3 linked regions of the Diceros bicornis minor genome follow. The main gene of each other region encodes a partner of the protein of the gene in region 2 in a complex. Links are inferred from orthologs where the notes say so. Each region holds a gene or a part of one and is shown on either strand. Other genes may lie near its edges. The genes, in order: ARFIP2, ARL1 and GOLGA4.

Region 1 (8,083 bases), on a different chromosome or scaffold from region 2:
CTCTTAGCCAGAAAGTTAGTGGGGCCACCCTGGGGATACCTAGGGTAGGAATGTCGGGTTGGGGTTCTCAGATAAGTTCACAGGACTAGAACAGGGAAAGCTAGTGCAGCAGGCAAGGGAGGGGCTCCAATTAGGCTGAGCACCGAAGGCATTCTCACCTATGCAGAGAAGGGTTACTTGTGGGGCACCTAATGTGCTGCCTCCCCCACCCACTCCGACTTCTGGACCTCTGTACAAACCCTTAGGCTGACTCCACAGGTGAGTGCTGTTGGGGGTAGGGCTGGGCCCACCCTGGAGGGGTTCTCCCTCTGGGCTGCAGGGAGGGAGTGAGGGAGGGAGGCTGAGGGGAGACTGCCTAGGAGGGCCTGGGCCCAGTCCCCCCCACCCTCTTTGGCCTGGCTGAGGCACCTGAAGCTCTGGGGACTTCTGGCTGAGGTCAGCAAAGGCATCACCTAGTGCATGCTGGGTCTGCAGCAGGCTGTAGAGGTGGGCTGTCAGTGCCCGGCCCAGCTGCAGGACACTCTCATACTTGCGCTTTGTCTCACGCAGCAACTCAATCTGCAGCTCTAGCTCCAGGTCCACAGTCCGGGAGCCTCGGCCAAATCGCTCTGATAACAGCTGCTTTGTGCACTGAATGGGAAGTTGGGGAATAGGTCAGAGACCCTAGCACCCTGCCTCCCCAACAGGTATCTACCCCAGCATCCCCAGGCTCCTCGTCTTAGCCACAGATGGGATATTAGGATCTGGAAGGTGGGGAAAAGGTACTCAGGGGGAGTTTTGGGGGAAGGGAGAGGGGCTTGAATCCCACCTTATATGTGTTGATGCCCCATTTCTTGACAATGTCAAACTTCTCTCCAGCGATGCCCCGAGCCACCTCATCTCCAGGGCCAGCAGGAGTGGCACTGTGAGATGGATGGCGGCCAGACCCTAAAGGACCAAGGGTACAACCAGACACCTCTGTGGCTCCACCCACACTTCCCTCCCAGCACATGAAAACAGCTTCTTTGAAGGAGTGGAAGCTAGACACAATTAGATTCACCTACTCACTAGGAGGAACTCATATCTCGGGCCCTGAGACCCAAATCCCAATATATATCTGGCCTCCTTCTGAGGTGGTGGAGATTGGATGGGGAGGGGAGAGGGAGTTGCTGGTGTACAGGGGCAGAGGAAACAAAAGAAAATATGCTGAGTATGGGGTGGCAGGTCAAGGATGGTGGGTCTTGATAACAGGAAACCTGGTTGACACGCTCATGTGGAATCCTAGTCAGTGAGAGATTCAGCGCTGTTTGTTCCTCTAAATTTTAGAGTCTAACGTAAAACTCTGAGAAGCTCACAGAGTTCCAAATCAGCCTCATGCTCCAGAGCACGGGGAACTCCTGTGAAACAGAGTTCTTAACTTGACTCAAGTGGTGGCAGCAGAGAAAGGACAAATGGGCGCATCTCAGGGGCTAAATGGCAAGTGGGAGTAGCTGAACAACACTGGTAACTGGCCTTGGGCTGAGGAGAGTCCATAGGGTTCATACTAGCAGAGGTTCCCAAGATCTCTGGACATAATTCAAGCTTTCTTAGATATATACTACACTCCCCAGAACCATTCCTCTCCCCCTCTCCACTCAAGCTTCTTGGCCTGTTCTGATCATTCATACCTGTGGGGATGAGTCCATCACCAGAGCCCCCATAGCCACCAGACACAATGCTGGTTTCATTGAGATTGGGTCCTGACACCATCACTTGCTGGAGGTCCTATAGGCCAGAGAAGAGGGGGGCTTCAGGAACATAAGGGCAGCTGAAGCATTTTGGGGATGAGAATAAGCTTGGATTGAAGCATCATAGAGAGAGTGCACAAGGGAAGTCTGCACAGAATCAGAATGAAGATTTATAAAAAGATTGAAGGGAGTTAGATAAGTTAGGGGAAGCCTACTGGAATAGGGGGTCAGAGCCCAGGGTTTATAAATTAGGATTCCTAAATTGAAATATTACGGAGAAGAAGCAAACAGAAGCACCTGCTCCAGCCCATCATCCTCAGGAAGCTGCCCAGCTTCGCCGTTGCCATGGATGGGGATCTCCATGGTGGCTGCCTTCCCTAGGATCCCGTCCGTCATGGCTAGGGAAGGGACTGGAGTCAAAGTCTCCACCCCAGCGCCCTGCAAAGCCCAACAGAGACAGTTCTGGAAACTGGCCAGTACTACAGAAGAGGAAGGTATCCCCTGCCATTCCATAGGTTTGAGAGGTTGTTCCAGGGCTTGAGTGTTCTGGGGTTTGGCCACTACTCCTTTCTTCAGGCATGTATTTCTCCCCTCCAAGGCGCATATTTTTACACATTCATACTCAGGCCTCAGGTGTCTTCTCATGACTCCCAACCCCACCAGGACTCTATTGATCATTCATGCATTCAATCATCCAACAGACATTTAATGAGTGCATACTATGTGTCATGCACTATTTGAGGCAACGGAAATACAGTAGCGAACGAGACAGACAAAGTCTGTGCTTTCTTGGAGCTTATCCCCATGCAGGTGTTTCCCCCCATGAGGAGAAGAACCCCTTTCCAGAGCTCAGGTGCCTAACCCCCATTCAGGTATGTTCTCCATTGCTTGGCCTTTCACACTCTTTTAGTGTTTGTTCCCCTTTCCTTCAGGTGGTCTCCCCCTCCTCCATGCCATGCACCTCCTGCCCTACACCCAGGCCTTAATTGAATCAGTTGGTATCTGTTCTTGGCCTCTGAGAAAAGCCTCTTTTTCCCAGGATATAGGTGATCCCTTTCAAAGTCAGTTATGTCGCTCCAGGTGTGTGAATGCCCGCCCCCCCCATACACCTGGGCATCAGGTGTGCCCTCATCCTTCCTCAGGGCTCAGAGGCACCTTGCCCTCAGGACAGGCTTGTGCTTTCAACTTCCCCTTGCCCAAGTACGTCCCTCTCACCTCGGGCCGGGCCGCTCTTCCCCTCAGGGCGCCAGGCCCGGGCGGCGCGGGGACCTCGGGTTCCAGTTCCCGTCGCGATCCTAGCAGCAGGTCAGGGACTCGGCGGAAGTGACGTCCTCTCCCGGGCAGAAGAAGCCGGCCACGTCGCAGATTATAAGGGCGGAGGTGACGTTGGCAGCCGGGGGCAGGGCGATCCTTGAGCCAACTCCTCATTCCTTGGGGAGCTACGAGAGCTTACTTCCGGGGCGTTACCGAGAAGCTGTAACGGAAGTGACGTAGCCGCGCGCCGGCGGCGTGATGGAGCAGCAGCAGCAGCAGCAACAGCTGAGAAACGTGAGTGGGAGCTCAGTCGCTGAGGGGGTATACTTTCAGCTGGCATCCACGTCCGCGTGGCGGGAACCCCAAAGAGCCAGGGGTCCGAGGGCTGGAAACGTCGGGCTGTGGTGCTCGGTGCTGGGAAACCGTGGGCGGCGCGGCTTGAATTGAGATGCGGGCCCCCTTGTCTCTGAGTTCTTGGTCTCCTTTTCTCCCAGTTACGGGACTTCCTGTTGGTCTACAATCGCATGACGGAACTCTGCTTCCAGCGCTGCGTGCCCAGCCTGCACCACCGAGCTCTGGATGCTGAGGAGGTGGGGACCTGAGTAGAGAGGGTAGGCTGCTCCCTCCTTCCCTCACTTCCCCCATCTCTGGCCCTGGCCTTTCCACGACCCCTTGCTCCTAGGCTGGGGATGGGAAGGAAGGAGACGGACCTGACAGGACACCTTTGGCCTCTACTTCCACCCTGTCTTCCTTCCAGGAGGCATGTCTGCACAGCTGTGCTGGGAAGCTGATCCATTCCAACCACCGCCTCATGGCCGCTTACGTGCAACTCATGCCTGCTCTGGTACAGCGCCGCATCGCAGACTACGAGGCTGCCTCAGCTGTGCCAGGTGTTGCTGCTGAACAGCCCGGAACCTCGCCATCAGGCAGCTAGCCATCCCCAACCCCAGGAAGGGAGGCGCTTGATGGACCCTCAAATTGAAGGAGCCAGTAGACCTTGGGCTGGGTGCGGCCTGTATAGAGAGAGAGTTGCTTGAGAGCTGGGTGCCATTGCTCCTTTTCCTGGAGCCAATAAACCCGCTTTTACTCTGTTTCATTTATATTCTGGGCAGGGAAGCTTTGCCCACTTTATTGGGACCATGCTTTGTTTTGTCAGTTAGTGCATATCTGCTGGCTTCAGCCCTGGCAGGTGGGAAATTGCCTTCTATGTCTGGAAGGAAAACCTCAGCATTCCCAGGCAGCTGGTTAAAGCAAGGTCTGTGGGTATAGTTTTAAGGTTAATAATAGCAACAGGAAGTTGGTTTCTGCCCAGAAGACAGAGAAAATGGGAGCTCTCTCTAGTTGTCCTTAACTTAAACCTCTCTGACTTAAACGGCCCACTTTTGAGCCAGATATGCGTTCCTTCATAACTGTTTTTTCATGGACTGTGTCTTACAAGAAGGAATTTTGCCAGATTTAGGGAAAGGAGGCAGTATCTAAGGACAACAGATCAAGAAACCACAGGGCTTTTAGGCACTACCTTCTGGGAAGTCAGTAGCCCCAGGACAGAGATGAAACCTGTAAGAATTTTGGGGTTTTCCGGAACTTCCACCATTTCTTCAAGTTGTTACTTTGTTACTATTTTGTGTCTTCCCTGGATGAGCAGTAAAACCTTTAAACAAAGAAGGTCTATATGCCTTGTCTTCAGGGGCAGTCAGAAAAGGGAAAACTTGGGGGACTGTATTCTGTAATACAGTCAGACTTGAAGGAGAGAAATCTAAGGGAGAAATAGATGGTGGTGGTTATGGGAAAAAACAAGGATAAAGCGAAATCTTTGGGACCTCTTTAATATTACCTTAATGTCTCACTGCTTGTCTGTAATCTAATTCTAGCTCCCCTAACTTCTACCCCACCTTGTTCCCACTGTACCCATTCTGTGATTTCTAATTCCATCTTCTACATTCTTTTCTCATTATTGGCCCTCTTGTGGAGTTTACTTCTGTACTTAGCAGTCTGAATGGCACTCCATCAACACATTTTCTTGCCACCCTTGTGTCCTTTTTGTGTCATTTCAGCTGTTTTATCTTTTCTATTCCTCATTCAAGCCGTTAGAGGAAAACACAGCTGTGTAATGAATGCCACTAAATGTTCAAGGTCTGCAACCCCAACCAAGCCCTCACTACCAACAAGCAACCCTGTATGAGTTCCTGGTCTATTCCCTCTCCTAATCAACATGGCAGTGATTTTACACCTTCACTGCTCTCCTTAATCCTCCACCTCACCCTCAACTATCCCCCATCAGGTGAACACGTTTCATTTTTTACAGAGGAAATGGAAGCTCTTAGACATTAGTTCCCAGAATAATCAAAAACTCCTTATGACCACCCACAAAGCAGATGTTCTCTCTTCTCTACGGATCAGGGAGGTGAAATTCTCCAGTAGCAGACTCTGTATTAAAATGCAGATCTGACTTTAAAATCCATGTGCTTTTTACTACACTAGGCTGCCTCTCAAAGTAATACCTATTGAGCACCCAGTTTGTATAGGTTCTGATGTTGGTATATGTTATGCTTTATCTTAGTTAATCTTTACAACAAAACTATAAGTAAGAGGTATTATCCCCACTTGACAGATGAGGAAGCAAGAATCCAGAATGTACCAGAAGCCCATCTTATACAGTTACCTATTAAGAAGAGTGGTTGCAATCAGCTTTTTGCCTCCTTAGCTGCTGTCTCTTGAACAGAAAAATTTATTAGGAACGTAAAAGTTGCTGAGCAGGAACTTTCCTATTGACTGGCTTCATGTCTACCCAATAAAATTCTGTCCTTGGAAAGTATAAATGCAAGTAAACCATCTTTTGAATTTACCAATTCCCAGAGATGGGAATGAGGCCCTGGGATATTGTGCTGCTGGTGGGAGAATTCTTCTACATTAACATTTGTGTGTATCCTTGCAGTAAACTTCCCTTGTGAATTATCTGTGTTTCCAGGTCACATAATTAGTAATTGCTGGAGCAGGGCTAGGAACATAGATCTGTCTGACTCTAAAGCCTATGTTCTTTGAAATTCCACAGTTTATATTTGCTTGCTCATCTGCACCCATCCAGTCCTTAGGCATGGAAAAACAAGTGGCCCTCAATCTGATCCATCAATTAGTCCCTTAAATTTTCAATCTTTTCTGTCCTGGTTCTTGCTCCTATTTATAAATATGTTTGATACTTAGAAGTACCTTATTCCTACCATCCATCTTCCATAGTTGTGGAAATCTCGCCCTTAGGTCTTGCCATAAACCGTAGTCATTGGCATAATGAGAGCAATGGTGATGTCTCAAGTACAACACAAGAATAAATGTTGACAAAGCTTTATCCCTTTATCACAAACATTGGAAACAGCGTTGGTGTTCCCACCATTGCGGCTTTAGAACTTAACTGCCCACTCATTTGCAAAGACTGATTCCTTTGAGACTATTCAACTATACCACTATCTCTCATTACTTGTTCTTAGTAACTACCACTCTCCTATTTCCTCTAAATAGCTATCCCTTGGTCTTCATATCCACCCCTTGGTGCTTTAATGTTTACATGGACAGTCCATTCAGTATTTTGGTCTCTTAATTCCTTGACCTAATCTCCAATGATTTCCAGTCTGTCTTAGCCAGCCACTCCCTTAGTTATATCCTAGCCATCGTCATCAGCCCAAACTGCTCCATCTTCAAAACACTGTTACTTGCATCTTACTCATTGACAATATTTCTTCTACTTTGTTTATCGAACTATTCCTCTACTACCATTCTTTGATTTCACTGGAGCATTCACGCCATCACTTCTACCTTCTCTCTTTCCATTAACCCCTTCCTGCCTTTAGATTACTATCCAGCTGAAATTCTTGTGATTCTCTTGGAATAAGCTAAATTTCCTTGCTTCATGTCTTTGTTGGACTCTTAGATGAAATGAAACATTTGTGCCTGCATTTGGGCAGCTAAAAGCTGCCCAAGGAAATCACTGTAGAGCACATTTATATCAACATGAATCCGTGGTTACCAACTTCAAATGGAATCTCAGCCCCTGTAATCCCACCAGGTTTTTCTTTTCATCTTTTCTCCCTGCAATGATTATTTCAAACCAATATTCTTAAGCTTCTTATTGCCCCCCACCATTCTCTTCACTTTCTGCAGGTAACCATATTTCTTACTTCATAGGCAAAAGTAGAAGCTATCAGTTGAGAACTCCTGCAACATCTCGCAACCAAACTTGGTCACTCACCTGGCATCTGCTTCATTCTCTCCTGTCTGAACAAGGCAAGCATCCCTCTCAAGGTTAATGCCTATTCCTGTGCTCTGAATCCTAGTCTGTCCTTTGGGAATCTCTGACTTTTTCCCACTTTACTTCTCACCAGTGTTTAACATGCTAAAGACTCCCTTGTTACAACAAAAAAAACAGTCTATACCTCATTTCTCCTCCAGCTACCATCCTGTTTTTCCACTTTATAGCTAAATTCAAAACAGTTGGTACTTTGGCCCTCTCCATTCCTATTCCTTCACCCAGTCTGTTTTGACTTCTACAACTTTTATTCTATTGAAATAGTTCTTAGGGAGGTCACCCTGGTTCACCAAGTGACGTTCATGTTTCCGAGTCCAATGGTTATTTCCAAGTCCTCAGCTTACTTCACTTCTCGGTAGCGTCTGTTACTATCGACTAGTTCCTCATCATCGACAGTCTTCACTGGTCTCGGGGATTCCACCCACATGACTGTACCACTACTTCTTTGGCTGCAGCTTCTTAGCCTCTTGCAGGCTCATCCGTGTCTGGCCTTTAAATATAAGTTTCTCTAGGTCCTGTTCTTTTTCGGTTTAATTTTTCTAGGATTGTTTCATCCGCACTCTGGGCTTTAGTTACTGATGACCAGATCTCTGCTCTGAGCTACTTGATTGACATCTCCACTTAGGCATCTCAAAAACATCCCATACGCAACATGTTTCCTCATAAACTTTCCTCCTATGCTTACCACTCATCCAGTTGCAGAAGCTAGAAACCTCACTCATCCCCTCACTCAATTGGCAAATCCTATCTGTTTACATTTCTAAATATCCCTTGATTCTGTTTGCTTCTCTCCATTTTCACAGTCTCCCACCAGCATTATTGCAAC
Region 2 (7,559 bases):
TCTTCAACTCAGATCTTTACAAGTAATCAATGGAATTACTTAAGAGAAATGAATCTTAATTAAAATACTAACAAATACAGAAAAAAAAACACTTCGCATGCAATATCACTTAACATCTATATAATTCTTTACAGATATTTACAAAGTATTTTATGTACTTCATTTATTTCCCCCTCAAAACCAGTGGATATTTATTATCTTTGTTTTATGGATGAGGATACTAGCTCTCAATGAGATTAAGTGGCTTAACTCAAGCCAACTTTTAAAACAACTCTAAACAGCAAAACCCAGCCTTGTACAGGGGTCCTTAAATTATACCAAACTGCCTCTCAGCTTATGAGAACAAATTTACAATACTCATACTAGAACTTTACAAACCTTATCAATTATTTTATGAGTTATTTATTTCGAAATAAAGTGATGTTAGATGGAAAAAAAACAGAAAGCCCCTGTAATTAGTTTATCATACCAACACTTACTAGGAATAGTAGTAACGACTTCTCCAACCTGTAATCTGTACAAAATTGTAGTTTTTCCTGCTCCATCTAATCCCAATATTAAAATCCTCATTTCCCGGGTTCCAAACAGACTGGAAAAAATACTTGAGAAAAAGCCACCTAAAAAAATAGTAAAAGCAAAAATGTATTCAGTATCACTTTGTGAACTAGGTCCACCAAACATTTAATCTTGCCCTTTGAAAACTATACCAAATTAAATAATATTACAATATTTTCCTAGATTCATAGGTGCATTTTTTGCTCCCAATGAAATATATTATTTAACATCAAACAAGTTTTTAATTATTGATTGTTACCATGTTCTAGATACTGTATCAGGCAGGCACAGAAGATGCACTCAAGAATAAGCGAAATATGACCCCTGCCTTCATGGGGCTCACTTTCTAATTAATAGGTATACCGCAGCATGATCTCCTCACTACCCCTAAAAACCAAACAGCAAATCAGAATGACAGTGGGACAATGAGGTCCTCGAACATGAAAAGCAATTATTATTACTGCACAGCAGCAGTACCATCATAACCACCTTCAATCACTGCGATTTCTCTGTTTAGCAATATAACTAGCACAAGAAACTGAGACACAGAAGCCAAAAATAACAAAAACTATTGAGAGAAAACTCATTTTAAAAAATAATAAAGCTACATTCAAGGCATCACGAAATAATTCCAGAAAGCTTCCTATATGCAAGGTATTGCGTAATATAAAAGCACTTGCAAACAGAGGGTAAAATGGTGGTTACCAGACGCTGGGGGAGTGAGGGAAATGGGAGAGATGTTAATCAAAGGGTATAAACATTATAAGATGAATAAGTTCTAGAGACCTAAGGGATAGCACGGTGACTACAGTTAATAATAATGTATTGCACACCTGAAATCTGCTGAGAGAGAGATCTTGAAGTGTTCTCACAATATACACAAAAAAGGTAACTATGTGAGGGGATGAGTGTGTTAATTAGCTTGATTGTGGTAATCATTACACAATGTACACACATATCAAAACATCACATTACACACCTCAAATATATACAACTTTTATTCGTCAATCATCTCAATAAAGCTAGAAAAAAATTAAAGTTAAAATTAAAAAATTATGCTTTATCTCAGGAGGGCCTCCTGGTAACGGGTTAAGGTATTGATTGATTTCGCTTGTGTTTAAGTAAAATAACCCCTAAGAGTAAGGGAGGCGGAAATTTACACTCTTTATTATTCTTGTTAACAAAAGAAAGAAGCTTTTTTAAAATAAATTTTTTCTTTTATAATTACAAAAAAAAAAGCTTTTCGGCCCTTTCCCACCAAAAGCCATTAGAAAAGATTAAAAAGAAAGTTACACTAACAATATAAGGAACAGTTGACAACAGAAGTGATGCCACTCACAATACGCGGTTATTTAACAAAGAGATGGCCCAATTAAGAGCTGCGAGTCTGGATAAATGAACACAACATGGACTAGAGAACCTCGGGGAAAGTATAATAGAAAAGGCTGACTTAAAGTCTTTCCTATCTTTTACAAATAAAAAAGAGGCGGAGCAACAAAACTCAAGGGGGTTATAGAAAAAGACAGGAGAGCGCTTGTGATGTTCCAGAGCAGGAAGTCAACTCCCAAGAAAACCGCGGAGGGATTTAAATAAGCCAAAGAATTTGCACCATTTGGAGAGTTGTAAACAAGTTAAAGAATCTGCACCTTCATTTGGGCTCTAGCGGGGAGGGAGGCTTTAGCTGACGCTTGTGATGACAATGTAGTTCCCTCAATTAGCACCCCAAAAACTGAGATTCAAATTTCATTCACTGCCCAGTAATACTCTCCCCACTTCCTTCTCCGCCTTACTCTATTACCCACATGAAAAGCTATAGATAAGCACACAAATGCCAAGTTGGCTATAAAACAACATTACGAGCAGCAGCACCTCTGTCTGGATTTTTTTTAAACTGACGCAGTCCCAGCCACCAGGGAGGGAGAGGCAATCAAGCTTCCACTATGGGGTCAGATCTCATTTTTCACCCAACAAACCTCGGCGAACCTGCAAGTGACATGTCGCCAGGCTTCGCAAGACCAACTCTGCCCAGGGGGTGACTGAGGGGGTGAAGGAGTAGTTCACGGTCAGGGGAGAGGACTCCCAGGCTCCCCGGCCGCAGCGCTCCGCGGAACCCCGCTGCCCCCACCCCGAACCCGCCGCGATGAAGGGCTACAAGCGGGGGCGAACGCTGGAGGCAGGCTCTTGACCGCCCCCCAGGTGAAGAGCCAAGGTGAGCTAAGTTCTCAGCGACCCGTCGCCTGAGAAGCTGGCTACTCTGGGCTTCCCACGCCCGCCCCTCGACCCCCCCGCCCCAGCCCTCGGCCGCAGCCCCTCGAGCGCGCCCGGGCGCCCCTCGCAGATCCCTCACCCATGATGAAACGTCGGTCCGCCCTCGTCGATCGTCAGAGACAGGCCCCGGCCTCGCCAGCGACTCCTATTCCCGTCCCGGCGCCGCCACCTCCGCTCGCCTTGGCTCCGGCTCCCAGGCGGTTTCCTTGGAAGCCTGGTCCGCCAGCAACTTCCACGTCGGACTCCCGGCGGGGGCGGGAGCGAGGAGCCGCCGCGACTGCGCGCCGGGAACGGCGGCCTGAGCGTCCGCGTCGTCGCTTTCGACGCAGGTGCCCCGCGCGCTGGGCGTAGATACTGCGGAAGCCGGGAGACAGAAAAAAATTCAAGGGCCCCACGCCCCTCCTGCTTCTGTTTTGTTGGACGAGAAAGACTTCCGACACAGGGAAATTCGAATTTTCATTTTAAATTCTAGCACCAAACAGTGGCGAATCCGCCAACCAAGAATGCGAGTCTGGCCTCTATGCGGCAGTTCGACTGGACGCGGGCGCAGCCTGCCGCGTCGGCGAAGCTGCAGGGCCGGAGGCGCCCTGAGGGGGCGACTCTGCTTTCCCGGGTTGCGCTCTCCGATGAGGAACTAGGACTACGCAATAGTAATAGGAGGATTCCTCGCCACCGATGAGAGACAGCCTCGCACCTGAGGCCGCTAACTGGCGACTTTTGGCGTCGCGGTGGCCTGCAGGGCCAGCGTTAGAGCCCCTCCTGCTTTTTTCCAGCTGACTCTAAGCGCGTGACCACCTTTCCGGACTCGGTATTGTGGGCGGGCTGGTCCCGATCATGGGGCCTGGGGACCTGTTCCCTCGGGGGCGTCGATTGGGAGTAATACAGGTCTTGACAGTGAACTGTGTTGGGAGGTAGAAAGCAACACCTAGAGAATAGGGAGAAGGGCTTCTCCTAGACTCTAATCTTTGTAAAGGTTGAGCATGCGTGTCTTAAAAATTCCTAAAGGTACACAGAAAAGTAAACCTATCCCTAACCCCCAATCCCGCAGTTGTCCCTAGAAATAACCACTATTAACACGTTCTTGGATCTCCTTCCAAATACCATCTTTGCATGTTATGTTTTTATCTATAATAGAGATTTTCATCCATTCTAAGTTTATGGACTGTCTCTTGTTTTTGGCTTCAATTTTCAGACCTTTCCAGCTGCCTAGGCATTGAACTAGATGTGCCTATGGCTCTCGCCTCCCCTCGCCGCTCCCAAATCATAAATTCATAGAAATTTTCATTGCAAGAAAAGGCTTGGTTTTGTTTTTTATTTTTGTTTTGTTGTTTGGGAAGGAGAGAGGGAGTGACTCAGGTACACCTAGGCCTTTTAAACGCTTTGCTTTGTAAGCATTGTGTTGTCCACTGTAGGACCTCAGCGTGCGTATGATTCCAGCGATCTTTCTCAGATATTCTTCATCCGCCTCCAGTCCCTGTCTCTGCAAGATCTTGGCCATTGCTACTTCAAATTTATGTCCCTGTCAGATTTATGTTTCCAGTACAATGCACGTAGTTCCTTGAAAATATAGATTCCTTTAAAACGGGAACTGAAAAGAAAGATATACTACAAACTTTATATTCACACTGTATATTCTGAACCTAATGAGCAAATTAGATGTATGTGAGGATGCTGTGTAAACTGAAGTGCTATATACAAATTAAAAAGCATTGTTAATATTGACTGTTGAATGGCATTTCAGCCTTTCATAATCTGTATTAAGCACTTCATTACAAGTCACTATGGAAACAGTAGTGATAAAGACCAAACAAAAACCCTTTAGGCACTTTGATCAAAAACTTTGTGTTTCAAAATTCACTCATTTAGCGGCCGCCGGGTGGCGCAAGCGGTTACGTGCAGGCGCCCCGCTGTGGCAGCCCGGCGTTCTCTGGTTCGGATCCCAGGCGCGCACCCACGCACCACTTGTCAAGCCATGCTGTGGCGGCCTCCCATATAAAGTGGAGGAAGATGGGCATGGATGTTAGCCCAGGGCCAGTGTTCCTCAGCAAAAAAGAGGAGGATTGGCAGATGTTAGCTCAGGGCCGATCTTCCTCACACACACACACACACACACACACAATTCACTCATTTAATTCTTTGCTTTGTCAGTAAAGATCTGGTCTAATGTCCTGGATGCATCAAAAACAAAACAAAAATCTTTTCTCTATTCACAGAAACCTTTGATCTAAAAAAAAAAAAAACCAAAATAACAAGATAAGGTACTACCCTTTAAAGTTTTTCTGAAGTAGGTTTAGGACAAATAAGATAACTTATGTTCAAGGCCTTAGGCTATGCCTATAAGGTGTGCAAATCATGAAATGTCTAACTTTTAGAGGTGCATATTAACCCAAGGATATGAAGACAGAAGATTAAAATGGCTTCAAAAAGCGTTGAGACAAATTTATAAATAACAAAGCCATAAATAGCCTAGAGAAACTTAGCTAATCTTTATTGGTGATTACATCCCACCTCCACCTAACCCCTTGCTTTCCTCAATTCCTAAGATTAGAGCAGTTCCTACTTTCATAGGAAATTTCCATTTTCAGTGCATGAAGGTCACGTTAAGGTGGTGAAAAATAAGATAAAACTACCACTTCCTTTATCTTTTCTGATACTAACTAAAGACAGCCATTACGCTGTAGGAAAGGTATATTATCTTTAGGGCAACACTATTTTTCAAAATGTAGTCGTTCCTATTAATATTGACCTGGTAGTATAGTTCCTGCTTACTAAAGAGAAATACTGAGGAAGCAGAATCATAGCAGCATACTAGAATTAAAGCTAAATATTTAGATTGTAAGTATGGAATTTTGTTCTTCAGACAAGCATGAGAATTAACTTTACCTCTTTCAAGTCTTTGCTCAAATGTCATCCCATTTAAAATTGCAGTCTAGGGCCGGCCCCATGGCCTAGCGGTTAAGTGCGCGCGCTCTGCTGCTGGCGGCCTGGGTTCAGATCCCACGCGTGCACCAACACACCGCTTGTCAGGCCATGCTGTGATGGCGTTCCATACAAAGTAGAGGAAGATGGGCATGGATGTTAGCTCAGGGCCAATCTTCCTCAGCAAAAAGAGGAGGATTGGCATGGATGTTAGCTCAAGGCTGATATTCCTCACAAAAAATAAATTAAAAAAATAAAATAAAATTGCAATCTACCCCACATCCCCCTCATCCTGATTTTTTTAAATAGAACTACCTACTAAACATATTATAATTTACTTGCTTATTATTTATTATCTACTTCTCACTAGAATGTTAAAATCTATAAAGGCAAGGAGTTTTGTTTATTTTGTTCACTATTTTGTTGTTGCACTTAGGGACTAAACAAATATTTGTTGAATTATGAAATGAGTTTTTAAGCTAATGCCATAAATATTAGTTAACTTAAACATATATTATGCAGTATTATTAAACTTGTTTCCTAAAATAGTCATATCTAAACCGCCTGTCCTAATTTGATAGGAGAAGCCAAACTGTCATCTTCAAAGAAGTTGTCATATTTGAAGAGAAGTCACTAGGTGGTGGTATTGCTTTAGACAGTCTCAGTAGAATGAGCTCACTTGGTCCAATTTATTAAAAGTCGAGTGGACAATTTAATCCTTGTCAAATCTTATGGTCCAATAATAATTTACTAAATTTTAAAATGTGAATGTTTTAATGCAATCCAAGCAAGTAAAACAATTCCAAAACTCCTCCTTTGACTATAAAGTCACAATAAGATTGAGGGTCAGCCCAGTGGCAAAAGCAGTTATGTGTGCACTCCGCTTCGGCGGCCCGGGGTTCGCCGGTTCGGATCCCGAGCACGCACCGACACACTGCTTGTCAGGCCATGCTGTGGCGGCGTCCCATATAAAGTGGAGGAAGATGGGCACAGATGTTAGCTCAGGGCCACTCTTCCTCAAGAAAAAAAAAAGGGGGTGGGGAGGATTGGCATCAGATGTTAGCTCAGGGCTAGTCCTCCTCACAAAAAAAGAAAAAAAGAGTCACAATAAGATCAAATAAATGGAGAATTTCAAAACTGGGAGGAACCTCAATTCCAGGCACCTCAATTACAGATGAAGTAGAAACACACTAAGTGACAAAGCTGGGACAGCGACCCAGATCATTTGACTTCCAGGCCTGGAGTAACTAGATTATGATGCCTTCTGTGACTGAGCCATGATTTAAACATTTGGTAAATTGATTTTCAAACACATGACCATGCCTCAAGAATTTGCTTTAGTTTCCAAAGTTAGAAACTTAACATTTCTGTGTGTTCCATTGCATAGTGGAAGTTACATTCTTTTGCTCAGATTTTACTCCATGAAGCAGAAACCTATGAAATATAACAAGTATAAAAATATAAGTATAATAACTGTAAGTTTCAGAAGTGCTTATCATACTGTGTATTTATAATGGTATTTTAAACTAAGGAGCATTTTGAAATCATAACGAGGTGTGTGATTTTCACAAATAAAGATATGTATTGTATTTCAATTGTTTTCTTTTAATAACGTGTACTTTGCCAACAGGGCAGAATTTATCTTTAGACTAAAGGTTTTATTTTTAATTGAGATACAATTCACATACAATAAAATTTAAAGTTTTTAAGTGTACAATTCAGTGGGTTTTAGTATATTCACAAGGTTTGCAATTATCACCACTATCTAATTCCGGAATATTTTCATCACCCCAGTGGAAACTCTGTATCCATTAAGC
Region 3 (7,778 bases), on a different chromosome or scaffold from region 2:
CTCACCAGCTGTGCTGTGGCAGTGTCCCACATATAAAGGAGAGGAAGACTGGCACCAATGTTAACCCAGGGCTAATCTCCCTCAAGCGAAAAAGAGGACTGCCAACAGATGTTAGCTCAAGGCAAATCTTCCTCAGCAAAAAAATTAAAAATAAAAATAAAAAAATAATTATAAGTAGTCCAAGAACAAACAAACAAACAAATTCGCTTGAGTGGGTAAAAGGGAACTGGCTTTTACACCCCATTAAATTCTTGAGGGCATGGTGCCTTCGAGACAATTTATACAAAAATGAAGAAATGATAATATACAAATTCAAGATCTTTTGCTTAAGAAAACAAAGATACGTGTAATCTGTTGCAAAAGAATTGTCATCAAAAAAGGTTTTTCTGGGGCAGGCCTGGTGGCGCAAGTGGTTAAATGCGCAGGCTCTGCTGCAGCAGGCCGGGGTTCGCAGGTTCGGACCCCAGGTGCGCACCGACGCACTGCTTGGCAAGCCATGCTGTGGCGCATCCCATATAAAGTAGAGGAAGATGGACATGGATGTTAGCCCAGGGCCAGTCTTCCTCGGCAAAAAGAGGAGGAGTAGCAGACATTAGCTGAGGGCCGATCTTCCTCACCAAAAAAAAAAAAAAAAGGTTTTTCTATTTTGTTTTTTAATTCATGTTTGAAAGAAATCCTTAACTCTGAAAACAATAATCCAGAACTCATCCTGAAGGGTTCTGAATAGCTGAGGATCTGAGACCACAAGAGAATCAAGTTTCTATCAGTAGTTCATCACTAACAATTTACTTTTGCATTCCGGATAAATATAAATATTATCAAAGAAGATTGTTTTAAATCTTTTGTACACAAAGTTATTTGACCCAGTTGCACTGTCTGACCAGAAGCATCAACCTATAGAAACTGAAAGCTCTCATATGTTAGCTTGTAACTATAGCTTTTTTATTATTATTCTAAAAACAATCTCTCTTTGCTAACGTACAAATTCATTTTCATGAAGAAAAATTTAAACATCACAAATATGAAAAAGAATACTCATAAGATCTCATCAGTACCTTAGAGCATCTCCTTCTTAAACTATTTTCACTGTCTGTATATATACTTACATACGTATTTTTTCCCACAAAACTGGGATCACACTTCACATGCTGCTTTTCAATCTGTCTTTTAACACAAATATCTTTGCGTATTAATAAAACTTTTCTGTAGGCTCTAACACTAGCTGTGTGACATTAGGCAAGTCACTCAACTTCTTTGAGCTTCACTCCATAAATGAGAAACTACCTCATGGGTTTATGTCCGAATTAAATAAAATAATCCATGTAAAATATTAAGCAAAATGCCTGGCACATAGTAAAAACCCAATAAGTGTTGGCATTTTTTAAGGCTGCCTAATAACTGACTACTTGATGTAACTTATTTAATCAATTTTCTATTGTTGAACATTTTTAGCCAGTTTTTACCTATTAAAACAACACTGAAATGAAAATCCATGTGGCTAAATCTTTAATACATCCTAAATTTTCCTAGAATAAATTTCTAGAGGTGGAATCCTGGATCAACGATATTTTACACATTCCCAAATGTAAGCAAGCCTTACACTCACTAACATGCTCATTCCCCACATGCCTCATCCGTACCTCAGTTTTAAGCTTTTTCTATGTTTCTTAAATAATCGTATTTTGTAAAGTTTAAAAAGCCTGAAGTAAATGGTACAAAAAATAAAATATTTACTATTTAAATTTTCATCGTTATTTACATTTTACATGGGAGAATGAACAAGCCTTCAGCGTAATGCTCTGATGTATTTCAAGCACTGTTTTACTCTACACGAGCTTAACAGAACTTCAATATACAGTTCCAGAAAAAACTCAATGCAGTAGTTGTTTAATAGTTGTTAATCAGTTGGTTAACAGCTGTTTAAAAGTTGCATAAGACAAATATTATGTTAAAAAATGTTTTAGAAATGCCTCCAAACCAGTTAAAACTCAGTCTTTCTTGTAGAAACTCTAAAGTTAAGAGATTTGCTCAATCTGTTGAGACTCAGAAAGGCTGGGAAGAAATTCTCTTCGCTGAAGAGACCACGCGCTGCCAGACCCAAAACACACATTCATTGGCGCTTAGGAGACTGTTTCTTTAAATTAACACTACTCACACGCTCCCTTTTTCCTGGAAACTGTCATTTCCTCAAGCAGTTCTATTCGTGAAAAACAAACGTTACAAGACTCTTGAAGAAGCAGAAGTCAGGCTGTGGACAGGCAGCAGCCGGGCCCGGTCTCGGAGTATCAGCCCCTCCGCCTGCCCAGATCAACCAAGTTATGCGAAGGGACTAACTCGTGACAGCCTCAGGCGCTGGACGCCGGCCACACTGTCGCCTCTTTCAGGTTCCAACGCTCCTGCAAGCAGCCTGGCCTGGAATGGCTCGACCCCTGGCCCTCACCCCTGGACGAGGGTTTGGACTTAGACTTTCGCCACGGGACAGGAGTCCTGCGGGATCCTGTCTCCTCCGTACTCAATTTCGGGTCAGGGATGAGAGGGAGGACTTCAGTGAAGAGGTCAGATATGACAAGGGACCCAGGTTTTCCCATCCCACACTCAGTCTTGAGTTGGGGTTTCGGATGGGCGGGGGAACCTTTGATATGGGTCAAAAATCACGCCAAGATCGGAGTCCCTCTCACTGGTTCTCAGGCCGGGGTGGAGCATCAGTGGAAAACTCGAACAGAGGTCAGATGCTACCAAGGATCCGGCCGCCCCCACCCACTCTCCCGAACGGAGTTTCGGGATGGGGGACCCCAGTCAGGAGTCACGGAGGACCTAGGCTGCCCTGAGCTCATTCCCAGTCCTGGGTTTGGGCGAATTACAATGTTAGAGGTCAAGGGTCACGGAAGAACCTCCCCTGCTCTTCGCCCCCGAGCCGGCGTCAAGGAGTGTCCGGAATTAGGGGAGAGCGGCGGCCATAGTACCTGAGTGGAGGCCAGCGCCTGCTGGAACTGCTGCTGCTCCTCGCTGATCTTCTGCTTCAGTTTCTTGAACATGGCGCACCGCGGGGTCCTGAGTGTGAATGAGACCTGAGGGGCGAGTGCCCAGGGAGACCCCGCCACGGAGGCGACGGCGGCTTCTCTACGCCAGGGACCGCGGGGGCCAGGCCTCGCCTCCTCCTCCTTGGGCTCGCGGGAGGATCGGGACACTCGTCCTGCGGGTGTCGGCGTCGCCGCCGCCGCGTCTCTTTCTTCTGGGTGCCACTGGTTGGCCTCGGCCCCCCATCCAGCCCCGGCGGCAGCGGCGGCGGCGACAACGACAACGGCAGCAGGTGAACGATGTGCCAAAAGCGCCTGCGCGGCCTACGTGGAGCTCGCCGAGGGAGCTCTACGGAGCGCCGGAGGGGACAAGCACACGAAGTCGGCCAGCACATGCGCGCTCGGGGTATCGCTCCCGAACGCGAGACGTGAAGGAAGACGCAGAATCCTGTGCTGCCTAAAGTCGTTGCGTGCAGAGAAACCCCCAGAATCCAGGCGAGGAGTGGTTTGAGCGCTTCACTGACGCACACTTGGGCTTCAGCGCTGCGAAGTCAGGCGGGGAGGGTGGTGCTGTTGAGGACGGCGGGGCTGACAGGCCCATAGCGAAGAACCAAGTATGTGAGCGTCCTGGGTGGGAGAAGGGTGTTCCAGGGAACCTGCCTGGGGCTCTGAAGGATAGTGTCCTTCTGTTCAGTATTTGTGGTGAGGATTCTGTATCTTCAGTGCCTACTACTCCTGCTGCTCCCCAGAGGGGCCCTCTTTCCTCTCCTGGACTCTTCCAGGGGTCAATAAGTACCTGACGGGAGGCGCCAGGGTCCAGATGTTTCAGGCCGATGTTGTAAGATCTCAATCGTTTGGACATCTGCCTTTATTTTTTATTTCACCGAAATCGTATATTTTCACATATTCATTCAAAAATTTTTATCATTGTGAGTGCCAGGTCTTTGGGGATGTTAAAAGAATTCACAGCCTGATGAAAGACACAGGTTCCTGAAGAGTTCAGATTTACCCCTAACACCTGCAGTCGTCCTAAGAGATGTGCCTGACTCATCAAACACCCCGAACTTTGGCGGTCTGTGAACCCTCAGATCCAGCTCAGCAACCTACTTCTGCATGCTGTACCAAATTGCTCCACATCGCCTCAGATATCAGAACCTGAGAGAGTATACGCTGATCTTCACATTTTAGCAAATTTTATTTACTAGCAATTATAGGAGCAAGTTGCTCTCTAAGATTCCATAGCCTGATCCCTAAATGTGTTAGAGCCAGAGCAGGGCCTGGTCTGAACACTGCATTGACAACTGGGCTAAGTCCTCTCTAGTCTCATAGTGAACACCTATGTAATAACCAAGAGTTTGTTTTTTCCAGGGGTCTTTCTCTCTCAAGATTGTAAAGGCAATAGACCTTCGGCTGCTCCCAGACTGCCGATGCCTGATATGCATCCTCACCCCAACGTTCACAATTATAAATCAAAGGTTGCCAATGTTATACATATGTATATGTGTGTGTGTGTATATATGTATATATTTGTGTATATGTGTATACATGTAGGTGGGCCCTATCAAAGCAGGCCATAATAAGTAATAAACAAATGATAAAAAGAGATCCAAAATATTACTTAGAGAAAGAAAAAGACCAGAAGAGGGCTAATTATGTCCTTGCTAGGACACAAAAAAGAGAAGAGGAGGGGCAGGGTTGAAACCATCACATTTAACCACAATTTTGTTGAAACATTAAGCCTCCTCACAGCCCATTTGGCTTTAGGCCTCTGCAAATTAACATTCTCTCATTGTCTGTTCTAATTAAACCTATAAAATATGCTCAATTCTTCTGCCACTCCTTGATGCAAATTACCTTCTGAAGGCTCTGGCCTTGGCCTACTTCTCAGAGTCCTGCACCAACCCAGCCAGAGCACCCTGCCTGCCCTTGTTTTCCATGTTAGTAACTTGGACTCATCTAACCAGCTGCCCAAGGACTAGCACACCTTGCATGAAATGGGTTGCATCCAATCATAATACCAGAGGCCTCATGAATTTATTTCCCCAGTGGAACTGGTACCTATCTTTTTTAACAAAAAGAAGCAATCTTCATAATTATAGACCAAACCTAATTATCATTCTTTCACTCCTTCCAATGGCAGATACCATCCCCATCTCCATATTTCAGGAAATTTTCAGAATAACATAATCACTAGGGACTGTGCTTCACAAAACTATTGTATATCGGGCCGGCCCCGTGGCTTAGCGGTTAAGTGCATGCGCTCCGCTACCGGCGGCCCGCGTTCGGATCCCGGGTGCGCACTGACGCACTGCTTCTCCAGCCATGCTGAGGCCGCGTCCCACATACAGCAACTAGAAGGATGTGCAACTATGACATACGACTATCTACTGGGGCTTTGGGGGAAAAAAAAAAAGGAGGAGGATTGGTGATAGATGTTAGCTCAGAGCCGGTCTTCCTCAGCAAAAAGAGGAGGATGGATGATTAGAGATGAAAGAGCATGGATGTTAGCTCAGGGCTGATCTTCTTCACAAAAAAAAAAGAAAACTATTACATATTATTAAGTTCCTTTCCAAGCCTTAGCTAAGAAAATAGTATGTCAGAAAAGACATAGCCAAAAGAACCAATTACAGCTGAAACTTTTAACTCTGATTTCCTGCTTTCTACAAATGCCTTATCAGCCCTTTTGCATCACCACACAACACGCTTTCTTAACCCTCATCAAGAATCCTGATACCTGCCACCCACAGGAGTAGAGCATAGCCGTTAAGAGCATGGTCTTTGATGTCACGCAGATTTTGGTTCAAATATAAGTCAGCCATTTTTTTGGCACTGTGACCTTTGACACTTAGATAAACCACATATAAAGTCAAATCCCTGAAAGGAGTAGAAAGGTTATGAGTGAAACACATATGATATAAGACAATGGACAATGAGGGAAAGTAACAAACTAGATAGTGCAAACCCATCGAGACATTTTTAAATGACTGCAGCAAAACAGCTCTTAGAATAAAATTCAGCTCAAAGGCCAGATTGTGACCTCTGAGTCTCAACTCTCTGCCCTTCATTTTCCTCATCTGTAACATTTTAACGTTTCATGGGAATGTTGTGAAGCTTAAATGAGATGATGTACATAAAGTATAGCTCATAGTAAATGATATTTATAAATTCTAAGAGTTTCATTCTCTTTTTACTTGTAACACTCTCCATCTATATGTTGAGAGCTCTAGCTTAGGCCTCCCCCTGAGCTCCTGATTATAGCATCTCCACTAGGCTTTCAGGTTTGGGAGGGCAAGAGCCATACCTGTCATAAAAGTCAGCCAGTGCGTGGTACAGGGCCTGACACTAAATTTCTGCAGAATTACCTAGTCTTGATACATCCAACTGCCTACTGGACAACTCCTCTTAATGGCCTATAAGCACACAAATTCAACATGTCCAAAACTGAAATCATCCACTACTACACCCCCTACCATCACCATCAGATTGGCCTCTTCTGTGTTTCCTCTCACTTCTTGCATCTTCTCCTCTTGACAGGCTTGTTTTACCATCTGTATTTTCTCGCTTGGCTGATGTCATTTCCATCTGCCCAAGCTAAAAGTTTGAAAGTGAGTTAAAACATCCCTCTCTCATTCTTCACCTATATCCAGAGAATCACCAAGTCTTGTGTCTTTTACTCTGAAATACTTCTCAAATCCATCCTCTTTCCTATTCTCTCTGCCACTCGTTTTAGTCTTCAGTATACCTCACCACTTAAATGATCTCCCAGTTTCCAGATTTGCTTCTTTCTAATCCATCTTCTACATAGCTGATGTTACCCTCCTGCTGAAATCCCATCAGTGGCCTCCTTGTCCTGCAGAACACTGTTTAAATTCCCAGGCAGTACAAGAAGCCCTCGGCAGCCTGGCTCCTGCTTTCCCTCTTACTATACCCTTTCCACCCTTCACACTTCAAAGCTCCAGAAATGTCAAATTAACTTGTGGTTCCCTTGCACACTGCTTTTGTATACGTCCTTGCTATTCTTTTTTTAGTCTACAAGTTATACATAGTAGTTGTGAAAATCTTAATGAGCGCAGTATACTCATTGTCCCTCATGAGTTTGTACCTTTTTTCCTTTTCCACTTATCCACCCTTGATAATGTTGCTCACATGTCATCACCCCATTCGAGCATTCTCTAACACTGCCTCCAAATCCCCCACACACACACACATCAGTGGAGTTCATCATGCTCTCCTCTATCCAACCTCAGTCTTACATGCTGTTAATTTATGTATCACACTGTATTTTTATCCTTTTTTATTTCAAAAGTAATATCTACTTTCTGTAACAAAAACAGAAGTATAATCTTATCTCCCTAAATAACCCCTTTTAATAATTTAGTTTGTATTATTTCCATTTGGTTTCTGTAGTTATGAAAATATAGAGATATGTAAATTTAATCATCTGTATATAAATATATTTGTAGGTTGTTTTTCTGTGTGTGTGTGTGTGAGGAAGATTAGCCCTCAGCTAACATCTGTTGCCAATCCTCCTCTTTTTTGCTGAGGAAGATTTGCCCTGGGCTAACATCTGTGCCCATCTCCCTCTACTTTATATCAAGCATGGCTTGATAAGCAATGTGTAGGTCCGTGCCCAGAATCCAGACCTGCGAACCGAACCCTAGGCCACTGAAGCAGAGCACGTGAACTTAACTGCTATGCCACCAGGCTGGCCCCCAATATATTTGTAGTTTTAATTGTCTAGTTTTATAAAAAATGGATCAT

The links.
Region 1: the proteins of ARL1 (region 2) and ARFIP2 are in contact, whole or in part, in a crystal structure (PDB 4DCN), measured with the Homo sapiens proteins. The link is inferred for Diceros bicornis minor from reciprocal best matches to the Homo sapiens genes ARL1 and ARFIP2. Residues at the interface, in NP_001168.1 of Homo sapiens: Glu17, Arg19, Gln38, Ile46, Ile49, Gly50, Phe51, Asn52, Val53, Glu54, Thr55, Gln64, Trp66, Ile74, Tyr77, Cys80, Tyr81; in NP_001363487.1 of Homo sapiens: Phe205, Thr212, Lys216, Thr217, Asp220, Asp278, Ile281, Lys282, Phe285, Leu286, Glu288, Asn289, Lys292.
Region 3: the proteins of ARL1 (region 2) and GOLGA4 are in contact, whole or in part, in a crystal structure (PDB 1UPT), measured with the Homo sapiens proteins. The link is inferred for Diceros bicornis minor from reciprocal best matches to the Homo sapiens genes ARL1 and GOLGA4. Residues at the interface, in NP_001168.1 of Homo sapiens: Ile49, Gly50, Phe51, Gln64, Trp66, Ser73, Ile74, Pro76, Tyr77, Cys80, Tyr81, Ser83, Glu115; in NP_002069.2 of Homo sapiens: Thr2173, Glu2174, Glu2176, Tyr2177, Lys2180, Val2181, Glu2184, Glu2190, Thr2193, Lys2196, Val2197, Thr2200, Val2201.

What each region holds. Positions count from the first base shown.
Region 1 is NC_080746.1:64,548,396-64,556,478, forward strand, and holds the start of ARFIP2 (arfaptin-2), read right to left. Parts: upstream 3,027-8,083; 5' UTR 2,922-3,026; intron 2,145-2,921; 5' UTR 2,103-2,144; coding exon 2,004-2,102; intron 1,744-2,003; coding exon 1,647-1,743; intron 980-1,646; coding exon of another isoform or gene 928-979; coding exon 809-927; intron 631-808; coding exon 409-630; intron 1-408. Other genes in the region: TIMM10B (mitochondrial import inner membrane translocase subunit Tim10 B), read left to right, coding at 3,219-3,254, 3,455-3,550, 3,718-3,894. UniProt on the Homo sapiens protein: Plays a role in constitutive metalloproteinase (MMP) secretion from the trans Golgi network. May have important functions during vesicle biogenesis at certain cargo subdomains, which could be predominantly utilized by secreted MMPs, such as MMP7 and MMP2.
Region 2 is NC_080764.1:21,880,308-21,887,866, reverse strand, and holds the start of ARL1 (ADP-ribosylation factor-like protein 1), read right to left. Parts: upstream 3,081-7,559; 5' UTR 2,907-3,080; coding exon 2,903-2,906; intron 618-2,902; coding exon 480-617; intron 1-479. UniProt on the Homo sapiens protein: GTP-binding protein that recruits several effectors, such as golgins, arfaptins and Arf-GEFs to the trans-Golgi network, and modulates their functions at the Golgi complex.
Region 3 is NC_080741.1:40,222,110-40,229,887, reverse strand, and holds the start of GOLGA4 (golgin subfamily A member 4), read right to left. Parts: upstream 3,053-7,778; 5' UTR 3,036-3,052; coding exon 2,964-3,035; intron 1-2,963. UniProt on the Homo sapiens protein: Involved in vesicular trafficking at the Golgi apparatus level. May play a role in delivery of transport vesicles containing GPI-linked proteins from the trans-Golgi network through its interaction with MACF1. Involved in endosome-to-Golgi trafficking.